Ovis aries: one gene and its partners. The protein of the gene in region 1 interacts with the protein of each later gene in a pairwise test. Links are inferred from orthologs where the notes say so. Each region holds a gene or a part of one and is shown in the gene's direction. Other genes may lie near its edges.

Evidence for each region.
Region 2: the proteins of ZC3H12A (region 1) and P4HA3 interact in binary tests that used the Homo sapiens proteins (3 or more experiments, as listed by UniProt). The two-hybrid records come from large-scale screens. The link is inferred for Ovis aries from reciprocal best matches to the Homo sapiens genes ZC3H12A and P4HA3.
Region 3: the proteins of ZC3H12A (region 1) and AHSP interact in binary tests that used the Homo sapiens proteins (3 or more experiments, as listed by UniProt). The two-hybrid records come from large-scale screens. The link is inferred for Ovis aries from reciprocal best matches to the Homo sapiens genes ZC3H12A and AHSP.
Region 4: the proteins of ZC3H12A (region 1) and BTRC interact in binary tests that used the Homo sapiens proteins (3 or more experiments, as listed by UniProt). The link is inferred for Ovis aries from reciprocal best matches to the Homo sapiens genes ZC3H12A and BTRC.

The regions. Positions count from the first base shown.
Region 1 is NC_056054.1:12,299,710-12,305,984, forward strand, and holds the start of ZC3H12A (endoribonuclease ZC3H12A), read left to right. Parts: upstream 1-2,598; 5' UTR 2,599-2,646; intron 2,647-3,480; 5' UTR 3,481-3,560; coding exon 3,561-3,955; intron 3,956-6,275. UniProt on the Homo sapiens protein: Endoribonuclease involved in various biological functions such as cellular inflammatory response and immune homeostasis, glial differentiation of neuroprogenitor cells, cell death of cardiomyocytes, adipogenesis and angiogenesis.
Region 2 is NC_056068.1:52,347,104-52,351,939, reverse strand, and holds the end of P4HA3 (prolyl 4-hydroxylase subunit alpha-3), read left to right. Parts: intron 1-413; coding exon 414-482; intron 483-1,804; coding exon 1,805-1,901; intron 1,902-2,893; coding exon 2,894-2,964; coding exon of another isoform or gene 2,965-3,022; 3' UTR 3,023-3,509; downstream 3,510-4,836. UniProt on the Homo sapiens protein: Catalyzes the post-translational formation of 4-hydroxyproline in -Xaa-Pro-Gly- sequences in collagens and other proteins.
Region 3 is NC_056077.1:28,060,258-28,065,041, forward strand, and holds AHSP (alpha-hemoglobin-stabilizing protein), read left to right. Parts: upstream 1-2,413; 5' UTR 2,414-2,477; intron 2,478-2,653; coding exon 2,654-2,728; intron 2,729-2,979; coding exon 2,980-3,183; 3' UTR 3,184-3,345; downstream 3,346-4,784. UniProt on the Homo sapiens protein: Acts as a chaperone to prevent the harmful aggregation of alpha-hemoglobin during normal erythroid cell development. Specifically protects free alpha-hemoglobin from precipitation.
Region 4 is NC_056075.1:22,066,602-22,072,315, forward strand, and holds part of BTRC (F-box/WD repeat-containing protein 1A), read left to right. Parts: intron 1-1,382; coding exon 1,383-1,632; intron 1,633-2,119; coding exon 2,120-2,238; intron 2,239-3,449; coding exon 3,450-3,560; intron 3,561-4,947; coding exon 4,948-5,026; intron 5,027-5,714. UniProt on the Homo sapiens protein: Substrate recognition component of a SCF (SKP1-CUL1-F-box protein) E3 ubiquitin-protein ligase complex which mediates the ubiquitination and subsequent proteasomal degradation of target proteins. Recognizes and binds to phosphorylated target proteins.

The DNA.
Region 1 (6,275 bases):
AAGCTCCTGAGGCCCTGTGACACACCCTTATCCTTTTGAGTTTGGACCACTTCCTAACTCTGGCACCACAGGATGCTCCAAGCTCACTTTTTTCCCTGTCCCAGCCCCAAAATCAGCCATTTCTCCAAGGAAATAATACATTTTTAAAGACAAATCCTCCAATTGTCTTGTCAGTAGTCCAAATACATTGCACTGAATTTGAACAGGTGATGAAAGAGTTAATTTGCTCAATGAAATGTTAAAACATACTTCAATTTTTATAGCTGGAGTGTGACAAGTCTTTTTAAAGTATATTAGGAGCCTCAAAACATTGGAGGGAACTGGCCCTTTCTGCATTTCCAGGAGGCCCTGTGGAACTGAACCTCTGCAGCCCACTGCCAAGGCTTCGCAGCAGCCTGCCCACCCTTCCTAGAGCATTGATCTAGCTCCTGTGTCATTCCCAGACGGAGCTGCCCAGTGAGCTTCCAAGAAAAAAAAAATCATATTTGGTCCAGCCTCTCTTCTTCATTTCAGGTGGGCTCAGTTGCTCAGTCGTGTCCAACTCCTCATGACCTCATGGACTGTAGCCCACCAGGCCCCTCTGTCCATGGGATTTCCCAGGAAAGAATACTGGAGTGGGTTGCCATTTCCTCCTTCAGGGGATCTTCCCAAACCAGGGATCCAAACCTCAGACTCCTGTGTCTCCCACATTGCAGGCAGGTTCTTTACCCGCTGAGCCATTGTGGGGGAAAGTTTCCAAAGGCCAAGGTAATTCCTGGGACCTTTCCCTCTCCAGCCTCTCCTTGTCCCCCACCCATGGGTGACCAGTCCTGAACCTCTGCAGACCCCACCCAGGCTGGCCAGGTGGCAGGAGAGCAAGAAGGCTCCAGGAAGGAAGTTGGCAAGATAGGTGTGCAAAGAATGGTTGGGGGAGGGAGAAAGGCTGGGCACATTAGATCCAGAGGGCTCCTGGGGATTGAGGCCATTCCAGCTACAACTGGAGCAGGGTTTCCCCAGGAGCAGTCCTGGGTTCTGCAGAACAGAGTCAGCTTCTTGGGAAAGAGCTGCCTTCATGAGCCGGAAGAGAGCGAGACTGCGGCTCACTCTGGGAGGACACAGAGCTGCGTGACTCATCGCCGCCCAGTACTGCCGGCTCCCTCTGGCACAGTGCTGGGGAGCACGGGGCCCAGGAGTACAGGCGGAGTCCCATCCCAGTCCTGGCCCAGAAGGCGGTCCCTGGCCAGCGATTAGAATCCAGCACGTAGGGACAGAGGCAGGATGCTGTGGGGGCACCGAGGAGGAAGCAACTCAGCACCAAAGGAGTCTGGGCAGGCCTCACAGAGGAGGTGACATCATCAAAAAGAGGAATAGAATTGGTCAGGCAGCAGCAGGGAGGGAAGAAGGGGAGGGCACTCCTGGCCAAGATAGGAGATGCAAAGGCACGGAAGTGTCTGCACAGCGTTGGCACAGTGCCCACCACCCAGTGAGTACTCCATAAATGCCAGGCATTATCGCTGTGGTTGGTTTATCTTCATTATGGTTATTAACCTGGACTCATTACTTAATATTTTTACTACCATAAAGGAGTTACTACAATGAATAAATGTCTAACTATACTGCACTTTTCACTGAACTTTTCTCAACTATAAAAGGGGCTGTTGTGAAGATTAGGTCTAAGGCACACACAGCACTGGGCAGGAGTGGTGGTGAGCAACATCTGAGGCGGCTTCATTTTCTCCCTCTCTTGGAGGCCAGCCCCTGGGGTTGCTGTGCCCGGGAGGCACAGAAGAAGAGGTATTTGGGGGGGGGTTTAAAGGTGACCAGTCAACAAAGCAGGGACTTGGCTAGGTGGAGTCATTGGGGGTTTCAAAAGCGACAAAGGTGTCACCTGGAGCCCTGGAATAGGAGCTCCTGGCCCTGGATGCAAGTCTTTTCAGCTGGAACAAGGCAGGTTGTACCTGCCTTTCTATTCTGACAAGGTCCTGATTTCAGAAGAAAACTGTACCTGGCCCTGGGTGGGGCCCCAGTTCTGTGTGTACCTGTTCCAGTCACGCTGTACCTGTTGAGTGTTCCTGATTCTCAATGTGAAAAGTTACTTGCCTGAGTGTACCTGTCTTGATAACTATGGCTCTGCCTCCAACCGTGTGTGAACCAAACTGTATACTCTGTTCACTCGATCGTCCCGGACTGTTCCTTCTGCACACTTAGGTCTGAACGTACGCGGACCTGTACACTTGGTCCGCCCGTGACTGACTCGATGTGCGTACCTGCTTTGGCCCGGGCTTACCTCACGCCTTGCGAGCCGTGCACTCCTGCCCTGCAGATCTCCCCACCGCCAGGGCCCAGAGGTTCAGAGGAAGGGGCTGCGGCCCACGCCCCCGCCCCCATCCCAGGCCGGGCCGGCGGCTCTGGGGCAGCGGGGGCGGGGCCGGAGGCCAGGGCGGGGCGGGGCGGAGCGGCGCGGGGGCGGAGCAGGAAGGGGCGGTGGCCGCTCCGCCCCTCGCCGCCCGAGCCGGCTCTCGGCTCTCGCCTCCCCTGCCCGGCTTCCGCGTCACGGTCCCGGGCGCCACCTGCCCGCCCACTCGCCCCGTATAAAGTCGCTGGCGGCCTGGCCCCCGGGACTCGGCCCCATGGAGACGCCGCCGGCCGCGGCTGGCGCACGGCAGGGTGAGGCGCTCGCGGCTGGGAGGGGGAGCAGGCCTCCGGGGCCGGGGGAGGAGGGGGTGGGAAGGGCTCGAGCTGAGACCGACCGGAGCAGGAGGGACGTGGGGCCAGTCCACTCCGGCCTTGCCGATCCCCGGGGCCTCCTCCAACTTTGCCCAAGTCGGAGGATCCTGGGAGACCGAGGTCCGGAGTGGGAATCGGGCGAGAGCGAGGTTCTGGGCCGCGTCACCGAGCCCGGAGGCCAACCAGAGTTTCCCAGCAACTTTTCTCGCTGGTGGGTCGCCCTGGAAACTTCCCCTCCCCCGGCCCGGGAGTCCGGCCACGGGCCCCGCGCCTCCCGGCCTGGGCTTCGAGCAGTGGGCAGACGGACGCGAGGAGGCGATGGCTTCAACGGGGAAGCCCCCGCCACCCCCTTCCAGCGCACTTCCAACCCAGCGGGTTTCCACATGAGAGCCCCGCCCCGTTTGCCGTGGGGGCGCGGTCAGGTCCTCGGAGGCCTCCCACGATTTCTGGGTCCCCTGGTTGGCGGGTGTCGGGGGTGGGTGCTGGGGATGGGATGGGAGGAGGGGTAAGACTGCCCAAGTTCAAATCCTTGCGTCACCAGCTAACAGCTGGATGACCTTGAGTACGTTCTTAATGTCTGTAGCTGAACTTTCCTCCTTCATAAGATGGGAGTGATGCTCTCTAGCTGGGAAGGCTTTTGAGAGGATAATATAGGTAAAAGGCCAAGATGGCTTTGCATACTGCCACCCATATTGTTGGATGGAGAGGGAGGGACAGGAAAGGAGGTGAGCAGGAAATCCAGTCCCATCCCTAACCCTCCTGGTTGTCCTACAGGAGCTGTGAAAAGTGCCTTCCACCAATCTGAGCTGTGAGTGGCCAGTGAAGAGAGGCCCAGGCAGGAAGCCAGCCCCACCATGAGCCTGTGGGAACTTGAAGACCGCCGCAGCTGCCAGGGGACCCCCAGGCCGGCCCAGGAGCCCACGGCCGAGGAGGCAACGACTGCAGAGCTGCAGATGAAGGTTGACTTCTTCCGGAAGCTGGGCTACTCATCTGCTGAGATCCACAGTGTCCTGCAGAAGCTGGGCGTCCAGGCAGACACCAACACAGTGCTGGGGGAGCTGGTGAAACATGGGTCAGCGGCCGAGCGGGAGCGCCAGGCATCGCCGGATCCCTGCCCTCAGCTGCCTCTGGTCCCTCGGGGTGGGGGCACCCCCAAGGCTCCCACCGTGGAGACTTCTCCACCCGAGGAAGACAAGGAGGGCAGTGACCTGAGACCCATAGTCATCGATGGGAGCAACGTGGCCATGAGGTACATGTCACTTCTGTGTCCAAGACCGTGGCCTCTGGCCGGGATTGGTGGCCATGTCTCTACATCTCTTATAGAGGGGACTTCAGGAAGGAGTTTGGTCTCTTCTCTAGACTGGTCTAGAGGAAGGGAAAGCCCTTTATGAAGGTCCTACTGTGTGCCAGGAGTCTCCCTTAATCCTCACAGCTTCTTGGAAGTGGGTTTTAGGGCTGTTTGAGGGGGCTTAAAGAGTTACTCTGGGGCCCACTTCTCATAAGTGCTGTAGCAAGGATTCGAACTCAGATCCTTCTGACTCCAGAGCTGCCTTATGCTCTCCATGAGGGATCAGACTGTGGGCTCCAGCTTATTCACATAGGAGCCGCCTTCCTCCTCTATGAGATGGGGCTCACCACCCTTCAGGTGGTGCTTGTGAGGAATGAATGCCTGGAACCTGGAGAGAAGGGCTTGTTCATCATTGGTAGTTGTTATCGTTACTGTTATTCAGGGTCTGGGACTGCTGGGGCCTTGTTGTCTCAGACCTGGGCTCGCGTGGAAGCCGGCCCAGCTACTAAGGCCTTTGCAGCTGTGACCAAGAGTAACCTTGAGGATCTGGCGACATCAGGGGTGTGGTCGGGTGGCTTGATGCTTTGGCTCCAGGGGCTTGATGACTTGGGTCGCCTCTGCTTCTGCTGGAGCCACCTAGGCTAGACTGGGCTCTCAGGGTCCCCCAGGGACCAGAGCTAGGCCTGGGCCCCAGTAGCCATCCCCACCTCTTCCCCTATGCAGGCTCTCATGGGGGGGCGGGGGAGTTGGGGGGGGGTGCTGCTGCTGACTCCAGAGAACCCAGACCTCCCTTCCATTCATCCCTGCCCTCTGGCCTCACTTTCTCCCTGTCCTTTCAAGGCAGGCTGGTGAGTCAGGGCTGGGTGTCTAGTTCATAAGGAAAAGTTCCTGCAGGTGCGGATGGGGAGACCCCAGACACGGGTGTGGAGTGGGAAGGACTCCTTCCCCCGCCTCCCTGAGGGCTCTCCCAGGTGGGCTTCATGAGGCCTCTGTCCTCTTCCTGCCCCCCATCTGCCCCTCCCATACCTGGCCGAGCTCAGCTGTCTGCCTGGGCCCGGCCTAGCTCAGTAGATATGCAGGTGGCCCTCCTCCAGCCACTTCTGGGTCTGTTTTCCCATCTCTGAAATGGTTTGAGCCTAGGTGGAAACTGAGGCAAGCTGGCATCCACAAGCCCACAGCAGCTGGTCACCCTACGTGCTTTGAGAGTTGGGGGACCCCTCTCGGGCTGCAGTAGCAGTTGACTGGGTCAGGAGTTGGGATCCCTTAGCGACTCCCTCCTCTGGGGGGCGTGGGCCGGAAGGCTGAGCCCTGGGGCAGCCATGTGCAGTGTGTGTTTGTATCCTGGCCGGAGGAGGAGGAGCCGGGCAGGGGGAGGGGCAGGTGGTGGAAGGCCTGGCCAGAGGCCGAGCCGCTCGGGGTTTTCTGAGCTGGGGCAGTAGCAAAAGGGGAATTCCAGCCTCTAGCTTCCTGTCTCAGCTGCTGCTGGGTTCCTACCCTCCTGCCCCCTCCCGCCCCAGGGCAGGCGGGCCAGCCCCTACCATATGCAAATCGTGGGGAAATTCACCTCTTGTTTCCTTCTAAGGGAATTTTTCTCCACTTGCTGGGCCCAGCCCAGGCAGATCTTTTCACCTGGGTAGCCCTGCCCTCTACCCAGGGTGGGAGTCTGGAGTCTCCAGCAGAAGCACACGTCGTCTAGTGTCTCCTTAGGCTGAGGGGCCCTGACTTTCTGGGCCAGCAGGATTGCGGTGAGGGTGAGAGGATGTCTGGTTCTCCTCTGCCAGCAGAGCTTCCTCCCAGGCAGTGAGAAGGACTGAGGTTAGCTGCAGACAGGCGCTCCTGGCTTGGGAGGGCAGGATCTGGGCTTGACTCGAGGGACCGCCACACGTGCTCGACTTCTGCCAAGAGTAAGGCTCTGTTCGACTGCTTAAGGAATATCCTGGGGACTGGGACGACTGAGAGCAGACTTGTCCCCTGCTAAGGTTTCTGATTCCCATAAGCAGTGCTCTGTCCCGGAAGCCCCAGTGGACCCCGAAGTCCCAGGGCTTGTGGGTGCTGGCCTGGGAGGGGGCGTGTGCAGGTACACACATGTGCGCAGAAGGCGGCAGGAGGATGGGGAGCTGTCAGGACACCCCACCTGGGGCCCTGACAGAGGAGCAGGAGTTTGCCAGATGCATGATTTTCCCTGTTCCCAGCCTGCCCCACCCACTGAACCCTTTTGTTCAAACTCAAGTTTGGAAGTTGTTGGGTTTTTTTTTTCCCTCTCCTAAAGAACCTTAGCTCT
Region 2 (4,836 bases), on another chromosome or scaffold:
ACAGACAGTATCTCATGTAGTAAGAATGTTCTATGAAACTTAGGGACATGTCTGTGTGTCTTGGGCTGTGATATAAACTAAATTTCTTCCTGAGGGTCTCAAAGTTTGGACCTACTCATGGTAACCCTCAATAAGGATGTTAGCTGGAAGGATAAGGATGTTAGCTGGAAGGGTAAAGAAAGGGGGGATTTCTAAACGTTGTCCTCTCGTGGCCATGCAGGCAAACACTGATGCCACTGAGTAGGCTGTCTTCATTCCTAAATTGGGTGATTGTCTTTCCATAAGTATTGCTCCTAGAGTCGAAAGAGGGGCACACAGCAGGGAAATTTATGCAGAAATGACATCATATGTCACAGGGAGCAGAGTAAGGCAGTCGGGCTACTTCAGCTCTGGCTTTCCCTCTGGCCTTGTAGTTGAGCTCGGTGGAAGCCGGAGGAGCCACAGCCTTCATCTACGGCAACTTCAGCGTTCCTGTGGTCAAGGTAAGTGTGGGTCTGATGCCAACGGGTGATTTTTAGGATTGTTCAAACTAACACCTCAACTTTCGTGCTGTCTGTGCTTGCACGCCTGTCCTGGGAGGGGCCAAAAGAGAGGTCTTTCTTGATTTCCAGAATCAAAGATAGTTCCTCAGTTTTCTTGACTACTGCATTTACTTGTATCTCTATTTATTTAAATTTTATTTACACTTGTATTACAAGTAGATGCCTTCCTATTACAGTAGAACTCCTCAAAGGTGAGAAATCTTTTATTCCTCTTCAGAATCTCAGCAACAACTGGTCCCTTCAATCATTCTTTCAGTAAATACTGGGGACTAGAGGCACTCAGAGTACAGAGGAAAGGTCATAGTCCTTGCCTCCAGGAGCTCACCGAGAGGTTAACAGGCAGTAATGGAATATACTGCAAGAAGAGCTAAAAAGTCAAGCAAGGCATTAAAGGAGGGCCAATGTGGTAAGAGGTTTACTTAATGAATGAGTATCTCCCCCAAATTTCAGAGCAATCAATCAGTCAATCAGGGATGACAGCCCTTAATTACTTCAGGAATGAAATGAAGACAAATAATTGAGATCGTGCCTTCTAGCACTTAGCACAGTGCCCAGCACATCCTAAGCATTCAATAAGTAAATGCCGGGTGTTTAGCAAAATTCAGCGGTTTGGCCAGGGATAAAGTAAGTGTATAGGAGAGAAATCTGAGTATAAGAGGTAGAAAGAATAGAAGATTTGGAGTCAGAACACTTGGGTTTGAGTTCTGACATTGATCCTCCTTAGTTACATTATTTAAAGCCCCTAAGCCTCAACTTCCTTTCTGCTAAGGTGGAAATGACAATGATGCCTGCTTCCTGGGGGTGTTATTAGGAAGTGCCTAAGAAAGGCTAAGCATCAGAATGAAGTTCTTAGTTGTGTGAGGAATATTTTGCTCCCCCTTGTGCTTTTTGTTGAGTGCCTGGCCTCAGTGATCCCGTGACACCCTGTGCTCCCCTTTCCCCTGACACCTGTCAGTCTCCTCCTGGTTTGTTTTTATGTCTCTCTCCCACGAGACTATGAGCTCCCTGAGAGCAGAATTGATCATGATTTGTCTCTGCATCCACAGGGTCTGGAGAAGGGCAGGGCCCTGTCAGTAAGGCATCAGTGAATGAGTCAATGGCAACTTGTCTACCATTTTGTGCCATTTTATGTATTCCTTGCCCCCATCTGCATGGACGGTTTTCTTGGTTAATGACATGTATGCATTTGTCCTCAGTCAGGTGCTTCCCTAGCACTGAGACTCTGGGCTGACCTTGCCTGGGGCGGGGTCTGCTTCTTTCAGAATGCAGCTCTATTTTGGTGGAACCTGCACAGGAGTGGTGAAGGGGATGGTGACACACTTCATGCTGCCTGCCCTGTCCTGGTAGGAGATAAATGGGGTAAGGCCTGCCTTTCTGGGCATGGGAAAGGGGTGAGGGGTTCAGGGGAAAGTGAAATCGGGGTTGGATAGAACATAACATAGCCTGTCATTCCAAAAGCTTCGTAACAGGGACTTCCCTGGTGGCCCAGTGGTTAAAACTCTGAGCTTCCATTGCAGGGGCCCTGGATTTGATCCCTGGTCTGGGAACTAAGATCCCACATACTGTGTGGCAAAAAGAAATAAAGAAGAAAATTTCTTGAACTGAATAAAAATGAAAAAACAACAAATTAACTTTAAAAAAATTAAATGGAAAATAGCAAAATTAGGGGAAAAAAAGCTTCATAGCAATGTCACATTATACTGAGGTGATCAGATTCTGGGCTAGTGGCCACCAGTACCTTAGGAACCCATAAAGGGGAGGCTTCTGTCCTATAGCCAGTGTCAGTAAAAGTTGACTGGCCTGACCAGACAGGCCTGATTCCTCAGGACAGCTAAAGAAGAATCAGTGCAAAGTCCCACTCCTCTGTTCCAAGGAGAAAACCATCAGGTGCTTTCCCATAAGGAGAGGTCAAAGAAAGATAAGTAAGGGACACACGCACATCATACATGTGTCCACGAGAACTTAGCTCTTAAGACAGAAACAGTAGAAGAGGGACTCTTGTGCTGAGGTGGACCTGACCAGGGAGGGTCCATGCCTTTTCTCTCACTACCCTGAAATGGTACCCTGTGGGAGGAGGGGCTTTCAGGAGCTACATGAAGGGGAAATGACCACAGTACCCATGGGTTTGAAAATTAAGTCTCTAGTAGATAGGACCTGTGGGGATTTTTTCCAGGGACCACTGCCCTTCTTGCTCTTTATTGCTACTGGAAGCAACATCTTGTAGTCTGTGACAGGCCTGGGACCAAGGTGAGGCAAGCGAGTCCCCAGGGGTATGGAATTTCATGGCCCTGTGAGTATCGCCTCTGTCTGATCTGCTGAGCCTGCTCCTCTGCCTCCCCGTTCTCCCTCAGTGGCCAACAAGTGGATACACGAGTACGGACAGGAATTCCGCAGACCCTGCAGCTCAAGACCTGAAGACTAAAGTGTTGGCAGAGAGGAGCTGGAGGAGGCCTTCGGCTTTCCAAAGAAGCCGGAAGTAAAAAGCTAGGGTAAGAGAGTAGAAAGGGGAGCAAGCTTCTGGAGGAGGCCCTTGTCAGCACTGTCTGTTCCTTGCAAATGGGAGACAAGGAAGTGGTCTCTAGCAGGGACATTGTTTCTCCTCAAGCCATGACTCACAGCAGAATGACCAAGACAAAGGAGGGGGCCCGAAGGCTGGAGAGAGAAGTTTCTGGAGCTCAGACTCTCTTTTGGAAACAGGGCCTATCAACAGTCTCCAGGGTTTGGTCGGTGGGGCCTTCGCCACTTGAGCCTTGACCACAGGGGCCCAGAGTGGCAGTGAGGCCCCTGCAGCCGACGCCTGACTCCCACGTGCCCTTCTGCCCACTGACTCCTGCTGAAGGCTGAGCAGGGGGTGTCTCTGTATCAGGAGTGTACCTCATGTGATGACTTTTTCATAGCAGACAGTAACTTTTTTAAAAAATATGATTTTTAAATACAGCCATTAAAATGTTTTAATAGTCATAAAAAGTGTTTACAGATCATTTTTCACAACCATGAACATTCTTATGTTCTGAAAACAGCAGAGCAGAATGTTTTATTTATGTATAATCTCATCTTGGCTCATCTCCCACCACTCCCCACTCAGTGCATTCCAGATGCATTCTATTTCTTAAAACCGACATTGGTCCCACTCTTCAGGTCTTTGCACTCACTGCTGCCACCGGGGCTGAGCCCTCCTCATCATTCCACTCTTGAATCAGTGTCGCTTCAGAGAGAACTTCTTTGACACCCATCCTTCTAGCCATTTTGTTCACATAGGCCAACTTTATTTTCTTCCTAACACTTTTCTCAAAGTTACTTTATTCATTTAATTGTGGTCAGTTGCCTGCTCTGCATGGTGAGTGCTTTAAGATCCCTCTCTGCTTTGTAAATGCCTCACTCCATTTTTCAGTATTTGTTTATTTGCCTAGCTGCTTGCACTCCTTATACCTCTTGGTATACCCCCCAGAAAAAGGTCTGTTTCAAATAAGTAGGCATTCAGCAAATATTTTTGGATAAATGAGTAAGAAGGCCTCCTTTGAGCTATGCTTTGGAGGACGGGTAGGATTCTTATAGGCAGAGTCTAATGAGGAGCAGCACTTCCCAGCAGGACTGGCATGAGCTAAGGCTGCAGTGATGAGTGACTGATATTTGAGCACTTGTGCAAAATGAACATTCTAGGCAACGTGGCTATTTCCTCAACAGGAGATGAGGGTGTGTGTTGTGCTCACAGAGAAGCCACACAAGTAAAAGGCTAGATGCTTAGAGGCTGTGCTGCCTCTGCCCCCTCCCTGTACCACACACACCAGGATTTCTGCCTCCCAGAGCTCCGTGGGCCCCGAGGAAAAGGTCCTGGTGTGCTGATATCCGGGATCCAGCACAGCCTCTGTGAGCACCTGTCACCAGTAGTTCTGCTGAGTGCATCAGGACTCTGGACGCCCTCTTACTAAATTACTGTCACATAAGTGAGCAAAAACACTTTCCCCCTCCCCTTCTGAATTCTTAGGAGCTCTGAGTTCTGAAACCTCTATAGTAAAAGACATTAACAGGAGGAACATAAAGAAGTTTATTAACATGTATATATCATGTATACATGGGAGATACCCAAGGGAAAATGAGTAATTTCCTGAGGTGGCTTAGAACTCAGAATGAAGTACTGTCTTAAGAGAGAAAGGAAAGAGGGGAAGTAAGCCGCTTAGATTTTTAGGAACAATGAATAGTCCTTAGAAAGGGCCCACAGATGGGAGATACGATAGTGATTGTCTGGGCGTGGTGTCCACTTGTGGTCTCGTCTCCTGTGCAGTTTTCCTTGGTT
Region 3 (4,784 bases), on another chromosome or scaffold:
TATCTTTCAGACTTTTCATTTTACACTCCCACTTGCGATGTATGAGAATTCTAGTTCTCTCAGATCCTTACCAACACTTAATCAGTCTTTTAAACTTTTAGTCATTGTAGTTGGTATGTAGTGGTATCACATTGTAGCTTTTATTTGCATTTCCCTGGTGAGTTGAATATCTCTTTATGTGCTTATTGGCTATTTGCATATCTTTTTTGTGAAGTGCCTGTTCCAATCTTTTGGCCATTTAAAAGGCTGCATTATCTTATTATTGAATTATCAGAGTTAATTTTAAATTCTCTATACATGTTCTTTGTCAGGTTGCATTGCGATTATTCCTCTTTGTGGCAAAAAATCCTTTCTACCCTAAATAAATAAAAACACATTCACGCAAAAACCTGTACACAACTATTTATAGCTATTCTATTGATGCTTACCAATAACTGCAAACAATCCAAATAGCCTCCAGTGGGTCAATGAATAAACAAGATCTAGTGCATCCTTGCAGTACACACTTTAGCAATGGAATGGAACAACTAACTCACTGTTACTTGCAACAACTTGTATGGAGCTTAAGGGCATTATTCTGAGTGAAAAAAGACAGTCTCAAAGGTTACACGCTATATGATTCCATCATAGTGTGTGTTAGTCGCTCAGTCATATCCAACTCTGCAACCCTATGGACTGTAGCCTGCCAGGCTCCTCTGTCCATGGGATTCTCCAGGCAAGAGTACTAGAGTGGGTAGCCATTCCCTTCTCCAGTAGATCTTCCCGACCCAGGGATCGAACGTGGGTCTCCTGCACTGACATCCTCAAAAACACTGAACTGTAGTGATGGCAAACAGATCAGTGGTTGGCAGGGTTTAGGGATAAGAGGGGACTACCACATAGCTCAATCAGTAAAGAATCTGCCTGCAATGCAGGAGACCTGGGTTTGATGCCTGGGTTGGGAAGATCCCCAGGAGAAGGGAATGGCAACCCACTCCAGTATTCTTGCCTAAAAAATTCCATGGACAGAGGAGCCTGGTGGGCTACAGTCCATGGGGTCACAAGAGTCGGACATAACCTAGCGACTAAAACACCACCAGAGATCAGAGTGGGGGTAGCAGGAAGGAGTTTTGAGGGTGATGGAAATGTTCTGTATCCTGATTGTGGTAGTAGTTACATGAATCTATATATTAAAATCCATACATTGTATACCAAAAGGAAGTTAATTTTGCTGTATGTTAATTAAGATAATGGAATAAACAAAAAGCATATCAACATTGGTTTTTGTTTTTAAGATTTTTTTATGTGGACCATTTTTAAAATCTTTATTGAATTTGTTATTGTTTTTGAATTGCTTCTGTTTTATATTTTCATTTTTTGGCCTCCAGACATATGGGATGTTAGCTCCCCCACCAAAGATTGAACCAGGGATGAAGTCCACAACCCCTGCATTGGAAGGCAAAGTCTTAACCACTGGACCACCAGGGAAGTCCCTGAACATTGGTTTTTGAATGGAGAAAGATGTGACAGAAAATACATATCTCTTTAATCCTGGCTACTTTGTTGGGGGAAGGAGCAAAAATGATCCACTTTTTCAGTGTGTATTTTTATAATGTTTCATTTATTTCAATTAGTATACGGTGATTTAGAAATTTGAAAAAATCTATTAAAATGGAAAACATTAGGAAAATATTTTTAAAGATGAAAAAGGGTATTTTTGCTTTGTCAAGTACCTGATGATATGGTAGAGAATAAGAATAATGTGTGTCCATTCCAGTGGAACTCAGCCTGGTAGCGTCCAGTCCTCCCATCTTACAAATGGCTCATCTGCAAAATTATGACTGTTATTGGAACTGGACTAATGGAAGCTTTTATAAGAATACATACTTTGTGAGGTGTTCATTTTTTTTTTTTTTAATGCCATGCTGTGTGGCTTGCAGAATCTCAGTTCCTTGACCAGGGATTGAACCTAGGCCACAGCATTGAAAGCCCTGAATCCTAACCACTAGGCCTCCAGGGAACTCCCAAGAAAAAATACCTTAATACTGCTTGAAACAATGCCTCACACAAATCATAACTGTAATGTTAGCTGCTATGAATATATCATTTACAAATTGGAAGAATAATTGCCATCACTTATAGGGGGATGATTTTTAAAGTTCTTGTCTTGCAGTGGGGGATCAGTCACTGTTAATTTTGTTAGCCTTTGGAACCTGGTTTCTGGGATGTGGCGGGGAAGGCAAGGCTGTCCCTGGTGTGGTTTTCTGGGTCTCCCCACTTATCTCTTCTCTTGGCTTTGCTATCTTCCTAATTTCAGGGAAACCTCTCCCTCCTTCCCCTCCCCTGGTTGACATATCACCCTCCCTCAGGACCGAAATGCAGGGCGTTTCCCTCTTTGGTTGACACCGAACCCCTTGTCTACATCTAGCTTGGCACAGAGGGACAGCCAGAGCCTGAAAAGTGTGGCTGAGACCTACACAGCACCGTTGGACTTGAAGGTGAGCCAGCCGGGGAGAAATGTGATCTCAGGGCAGTTCAGGGCCAGAAAGGTGGTGCAGGGGAAGTGACCCTGCAGGGCACCAGGGATCCTCGGGGGGGGGGGGGGGGGGGGGGGGGAGTGAGGAGATTGGGAGAAAAGGATACTTAAATTTCATCTCTTTCTCTAACCATGCAGATGGCCCTTATTCAGACCAATAAGGATCTCATTTCCAAAGGAATAAAGGAATTCAACATCCTGCTAAATCAGCAGGTAAGCCTGGTGCTGTTTCAGAGGACAGGCCTGAAGTGTTGGGAGGTGGGCGAGGACAGAAAAAGGAGAATAACTTGGAGCGGGGAGGGTAATGGTGGATTAGACGGGAACCATGAGAGACAGGGAATACAAATCAGAGAAAAAAGGAGGTCAGAGTTTGTGGTTATTCCTGAGTCACATGTCTGAGCCGGGTCTCCTGTGCCAAATTCTGATCGCCCCCCCACCCCCACCCCACCCTATGTCCCCTCCAGGTCTTCAGTGATCCTGCCATCTCCGAAGAAGCCATGGTGACTGTGGTGAACGACTGGGTGAGCTTCTACATCAACTATTACAAGAAGCAGCTGTCGGGGGAGCAACAGGAGCAGGACAGGGTTCTGCAGGAGTTTCGGCAAGAGCTCGATACCCTGTCTGCCTCTTTCCTGGAGAAATATAGGAACTTCCTGAAGTCCTCGTGAGCAGCCCCTCACACGCTGCCTTTCTCCTAGCCCAGAGACCCAGGCTGCAAGTCTAAGAAACCCTTAAACGCTGCCTCTGTGTTCTAGTCCTCGGGCTCTGCTCCTTCATGGTGTTGCTGCACCCTGACACCTCAATAAAGACCAGTTCTGGTTGTAGTGGTCTTCCTGGCTTGTGGGCTCTTCTTTGGTTCTGATCCCTGAATCATGAAGACAGTTGGTCCCTTTTCCCTCAGCCCTGCTTCCTAAATATGGTCTTGAAGATCAAACTTCTTAGAGCAGAGGTTTGCAGCCTTAAGTAAGCACTGGGAAGTACTAAAATAGCCTGAAGGAGGGGCCAGCTGACAGAGCGTAACAGTAAGTGCTGAGGGACAGGGAAGGGGACAAAAAGAAGGAGACAGAGGCTCACCAGAAAGCATGGTCCTGTGACATGCTGTCTAGAAGAAAGTTTTTGGAACCTCCCAGTCTCGTTTATCTTACACTGCAGCATGTGACAAGAGAGTCAAACTATGACAAAATACGAGACAGCCTCACTGTAGAGGGTTGGGGAATGAAATGTACTAATGTATCAGACTGTGGAAATGACGGAATCTATAAGACTAAGCCACAGATAACTGCATACAAGCACTGTGCCCTAGTGCTGGTTAATAATTCTGATACTGTTGCACATGCTCATTGGAAATGAACGATAGGCGTACATACATGGTGGATAATGGGAGTTGAGTTTCTCAATGTCAGAGTGGGAATTTAAGGATAAGCAAGGTTGGGGGGTGGTTAGAATAATCTACGTGGTAATGGATTGGAGTTAGAAATATCAGCACAGACAGATGGTGTGATGATGGCATATAGCCGGTGGGTTAAGTTGCTCTTTTCTCTCCCTGTCCCCTTCCTCCTTTTTTAAAAAAGGTTTATTTATTTGGCTGCGCCAGGTCTAAGTTGCAGCATGCAAACTCTTAGTTGTGGCATGTAGGATCTATTTCCCTGACCAGAGATCAAACCCAGTCCACCTGCATAGGGAGCTCGGAGTCTCAGCCACTGGACCACCAGGGAAGTCCCTCCTCTCCCTTTTCAAACAACTAAGTAGACATCCATAAGGGAACAAAAGTGCCTCTGCACACTCCATCAAGGAGCCCAGGAGGTTTCTAACCCACCTGTGTATCTGAAAATTAACAAATAGGACCTCAGTAAGGGCTGCAGATCCAAGGGAGATACAAATCTCCTCTATCTCCACTGGTCACAAGGGGGCAGGGGGTGGAAGGGTGAAGCCTGGAGATGGCAAACTGGGAAGAGACCAAAAGACTCTTCTGGAGAGACTTTTGTGGAAGTCCAGACTGCCTGGAGGGGCCGTCAGCATGTCCTTAGATCAAGGTAAGGATGAGGCTGGAGGCGAGAGGAAGGAACTCGCCAAGGCGGCCGGTCTCCCCAGGGCGACTCCACCAGGGTTGAGCTTTTCACAGCAGCAGGGTTGCCCCCCTCAGGCAAAGGAAGTGGAAAGCCTTGACCCCTCTCACAGAGTGGGTGGCAAGCGCGAGGGGTGAGTGACTGCCTCCCATTCCTAGCTGCGCACCTTCCAACTGGAGAAACCCATTTCTCTCCAGCAGTAC
Region 4 (5,714 bases), on another chromosome or scaffold:
CACCTCACAGGGGAATGACATGAATGGAATGAAGCCTTCCTTTCAGGTGGTTATAACTGTAGTACAGGCATGCATTATCTCCTTTAAAATGTGTACAGGTGAGCAATACTCTCTCTTGCCAGCCCCTCCCCTGCTGTCCCTGCAGTTTTTAATTGCAAGCTTCACTCTGGGAGGGGCCTTCAATTTCCAGAGGCGTTAGTGATTTGATGACACAGCCATTATGCTGCTGGAGTCCAGTGTAGCTTGAGTTCTGGGTACCAGCAGAACTGCTGGAAACCTCTGTTAGGAATTTTGCCTTGAGCTAAAGGATTTAGCAAACATAATGCATCAAAAGTAACTTTAAAAAAATAGGGAGAAAAAAAGCAGTTAACGGCATTGTTAGATTCTCTGAAGTTAAATGTTTACCATTCCAAATTATCCTCTGTGAATAGAAAGGGCTATTCGCATTTTCTTGTCTTTTGACTTAAAGGCATAGCAAATTCAGTTCATAGAGTTATCAGCATTTAACATTTATTGGTGCTTGTGGAGTGCCTTAAGGAAGTTTAAAGATTGTAGAGGCTAACATCATTTATTGAACAAGGGAAAAAATGATTTTCAAAGAGAGAGGGTTAAATTGGAAAAAAAATAAAATGTATTGTAAAAAAACAAAGTAAGTATACAAAATGAGTGATCAAAGTAAAATACACCTTCACAAAAATTTCTCAAGCTATCTAAGGGTCCTGCACTCTGCTGTGAAGCCCATATTTATATTGGGGTGGCTGGTCTTGATCCCTACACTCATTCAGAGCACAGAAATGGGGCCTTATGTTTAGAGTCTAGGTAATTTTACGCCTTGATCTGTGTGGTGAAAACTAAGGCCCAAGGCCATCAAGCTCAAATCCACAGTACTAAGTCAGTCTATTACAGAAGATTCTTGGCCTGTGTCAGTTCTAGGACCCAAGGGCTATTTGTGGGACCACCAACGCTGCAGTTATTAGCAAAATTCCCACCAGTTTAAAATGTATCAGATTAAATGTCAGAAGGTTTATGATAATCTTGAAGTTTGGGAACAATTTGCTGGTGATGGTTGCTGCACCCTCATTTCAGCACCCTGCAGCTAGCCCAGATTTCAAGTTGTGTGTCTTAAGGATTGCATACTGGCAGTATCCCATCCCCTTCCTCTTCCCGCTTTCCCAGTCCAGTCCTCTAACTATCACTTCCCCATGGTCCATTAGTACACTTCACCTCAGCTCAACTTCAGAGCTACAAAAGGAGAGTAAGGTATACCATTAACTGGGAGAAATAGGGTGGGAGTGGTGGGCAGTGAGGTAATCCAGTACTTAAAATAGATTGTAGCATGAATTTCACCACAATCTCAGATAACCGTAATATTTTTGTTCCAGGGTGTGGGATGTAAATACAGGTGAAATGCTGAACACATTGATTCACCATTGTGAAGCAGTTCTGCACTTGCGTTTCAATAATGGCATGATGGTGACCTGCTCCAAAGACCGTTCCATTGCAGTATGGGATATGGCCTCCCCAACTGACATCACCCTCCGCAGGGTACTTGTCGGACACCGAGCTGCAGTCAATGTTGTAGACTTTGATGATAAGTACATCGTTTCTGCATCTGGGGATAGGACTATAAAGGTAATGAGGCATTTTTCAGTAAGTCCCCACCTTAGAGTAGGGGAGTTCATATGGATATCTTCTCAAGGACAATTTTATATTTAACCCTCACTGTAGAATACTTAATATTTATTTAAATCAGATACTAGTTTATGTAATGAATCAGATAGATCATGTGACAATTTGGGTTAGGTTTTTATTCCTGTAAATAATGGTGAGTATGAAAAAGGCAGGGGTAATTTTAGGTTCAAGATTTGTCTACAAGGCGAGATTGACCCCATAAGAGCACATCAACCTGAGGATTTCTCATATGATAGCAACCAGCTACAAATTAGCCCTATATTACTGTGAATTAAACTTGTCATCTGGGATTTGACTTGGATTGGTTTAAGACATTGAATTTCCCCTGCTAGTTCAGTCCCATTTTCTGCTTCCCTAAAACTGCAGTTGCCATAGATTTTACTAATAAAAGCACCAAATCAACTGCCAAATGCCATTTCTGTTTCAGGTGTGGAACACAAGTACTTGTGAATTTGTACGGACCTTAAATGGACACAAACGCGGAATTGCCTGTTTGCAGTACAGAGACAGGCTGGTCGTGAGTGGCTCATCTGACAACACAATCAGGTGAGCAGCAGGTGCCCTTGCCCAGAAGGGATTGCTATTATCCTGCCATTTATTGTTTGTGCACAGACCAAAGGAATTGTCAACTGTGTTCTGTTTATAATAAAACATTTTTCAGTTTTCTGTGGCTTCTTACAGGTTAAAAGTTTGCCCCAAGCAGAGAGACGGCACAGCAAAGCCTTTTGTTGATGTGTTTCCTTCCTGTAATAGTTTTATCACCAGATAGACCTATTTAAAAGGAACTTCTTGAATGAGGAAGTGAGCAAGAGAAATAAAAATGGAGGTTGAAGGCCCTTCTCTAAATTTCTCCTGTCTGCAGTTGATAAGTGCTAATAAACAGCTAAAGGGCTTTTCTCTTTGCCAGTGTTTTTAAAAAAAGAAAATAGATTTGTTCCCCTACTAGAAGTTGTACAATTTTGGGTTTTTTAGCATTACATAATGGGCCAGGGACCTACCAGTCTTCGAAATTATGAACAACTTATGAAGAATCCTCAAATTGAAGTACTTTTCGGTGTTTTCCCTTCATGAAAATGAATGACACACATATGCATAGAATTTGAAAGATTTATCAACCCTCTCCTCTCCTTCAAAGAAGTGCTAAGGGAATGAAAAAGCCATTGAAAAAACGACAGACAGACATTGTTATATCTAAGGAAATTAGCATTCCTAGAAATCATGTGGATTGGTCAGAAGGCATACATAATTTAAATTGGTATATAAAAATTTTTGAGAACTTACTTTGCATTTCTATTATATGAGAAAAACTGTCCTGAACAGTGGGGTGAAAGCTGAGGGTGTCCTCAGTGATAGAGGTACACATATTTTGTGAGAGCAGGATGTCACCGTTCCTGTATCTCATTCTTATTTAATTGTGGTTTCCAGAAATATTATGTTTCTTGGCTTGGCCCTTTCCTTCTTAGGCAACTGTGTACATTAAATTCATCTTTTATATTCCTTGGTGACCCTGATTATAGGTTTATATGAAGCTTGATGCTTTAAAAATATTTACAACATATTTGAACTTAAATCGTACATTTTTCTGCTTCTATGGCAGAAAGTAAATAAATTACACTGAAAGTAATATATTTGTATATGAGTGTTGATTGGTTTTTATATTTTGGATATTTTAAAAGACATACGATGTATGTTGTTATAACATTCCAAGCTTAGAAAAGAATGCATGGAAATTCACTCCACTCAATGTTCTCTTTCAGATTATGGGACATAGAATGTGGTGCATGCTTACGAGTGTTAGAAGGCCATGAGGAATTGGTGCGCTGTATTCGATTTGATAACAAGAGGATAGTCAGTGGAGCCTATGATGGGTGAGCGTGCTGACAGGGTTTTTAAAAGTTCTCTTAATCCCCCCTGCCTTAGAATGTTAAACATAGCCTTTCCTTGTCTCCAAAAGATTATAGATATCACAGAAAGAATCTGATACAGTATTCTTGTGTCTAATCCATGTATTCACATCTCCTTTGTTCACTCTTTTCCAAATAATCTTCGCAGTCATTTAATTATACTTGTTTGCTCATGATTTTCATTAGTATTTTGGATTTTTTTTCATATATTTATTTTGCCCTATAAAGCAGAGAACTGGATAAACCCTAGTATATCAGGATATGGATATAAAATAGTGACTTGTTAATAAAATTGAAATGTTGGAGGATAGTATCTTTGGAGGGGACTTAGTATACTGCTGGCATTTCAGTCACAGTGCATTAAATAATCTTTACTTTCCTTCAGTCTACTTTCCAGTGGTTACAGACTCCGTTCATGTTGTGGATGGATCCCACATCCAGCGACGCTAATGAGCACATAGTATATTCTTACAAGAGAGAACTCATTTATGAAATGCTGTCTGTCATTTCTTCTCATCAGGGTGCCTGATGTGGAGGACAGGAAGGCCACAGTTCAAATATTGGCAGCTTTTTAAAAATATCAGAAACTAACTTACAACTTTATCTTAGTTTACGAGCTGGCTATACTTGATTCATTAAGACGACTCAAGCAGCAGTAAGTGTTAACAGACCCATTTCCTCTGCTTTGAGTCAGCCGTCACTGTCAGACCCTTGGGAAGTTGTTGGGGGTATGACTACATGTTTCAGCTAAGTCCAAGGCTGTATTTTTCTTACTGCCCTGGTTTTGATCTGTACCCTTTTCTTGGGTTTTGTCTGTTACTTACCTTGAGGATACAGGACATAAAATCGATTCATAGAAGGGCTAAACTTTTCTTATTTAAATATTGCTTATATCAACTCAGAGTCTTACATGGACCCCAGTCCTCTGATATGTGTGACCTGGGCCACTGTCAGAATTGACCAGAAAAAAAATGCCTCAGAGTTATAGGTTTCTAGCTCTAAGTGATCTCATCTACTATTAAGAGTTCTAATATATAAGAACGCCTTTTGGCCCCAAAGTATGGTGTGACTTCACTGTTCACTCTCTTCAGTTTGTTTAAAGCTAACCTATTTCTTGTTTTTAGGTTAATCACATACATTTTCCCCTTTTAAGACTTAATAACCTCTACCCAAGAATGAATGCATGAACTGAGTCTCCAAATCAAAAACGTTTTTATATATCCTGTGAGCTGCATTTATCGTATCAACTATCTTCACCATATATATTTATTGCCATGACTTCTTGCTATTTTTCTTGTGTCCCTTTAATTTTGCTCTTTATTAAGATTTTGGTCCCCTTTTTGATCTTTAGAAAAATTAAAGTGTGGGATCTTGTAGCTGCCTTGGACCCTCGTGCACCTGCAGGAACTCTTTGTCTACGGACCCTTGTGGTAAGAGCCTTATTGTTTAGAGGGGTTTGAGGAGCAGGAAGGAGAAGAAATTAACATAGATGTGCTGTGGAATACAGATCTGGATTTGATAGTTAGAACCTCACAAAGTCTACTACTAAGTGGAAAGGCAACCAGTACTTGACAATAAAATATGTTTATATAGCTGCCTTTCATCCAAAAGTGCTTTAGAGACTGTGTATGGAGAAGAATGTGGCAGCTGTTCAACAGCTGCACAGCAACTCTACACAACAGTTTAGTACAGGAAGTGAATAAGAATTCTGTATCCACTAGAAACAGTAGGGGGTACTTGGGGAGAGAGAACATAATGACTCAAATTGGAACCTGTCCAGAATCTGAGGACCTGCACACCTGTGCCTGCAAAAAGTGCCACGGGAGGCTGCATGAACCCCCTGATCCGCCCCTGAGTTCACTTCCCATTTAAGGAATGATGCCTCCAGCAATTTGAATCCTGTCTCTTTTATTCTCTTACACCCCCTGGCCCAAACATCTTGACATTTGGAGAAAGACATGACTTAGAAGGAAGAATGTCACCTCGAAAGCACCAAGTTCTTTTTCGTGGTGTTAGCCAAAGGCCCAGATCAGAAAATGGCCCCAAGGTTTGAAAGCTGCTTCCATGACAGAAAGAGTAGGTGGGGTATCATAGAGGACAGAATCTTCTGCACAACTC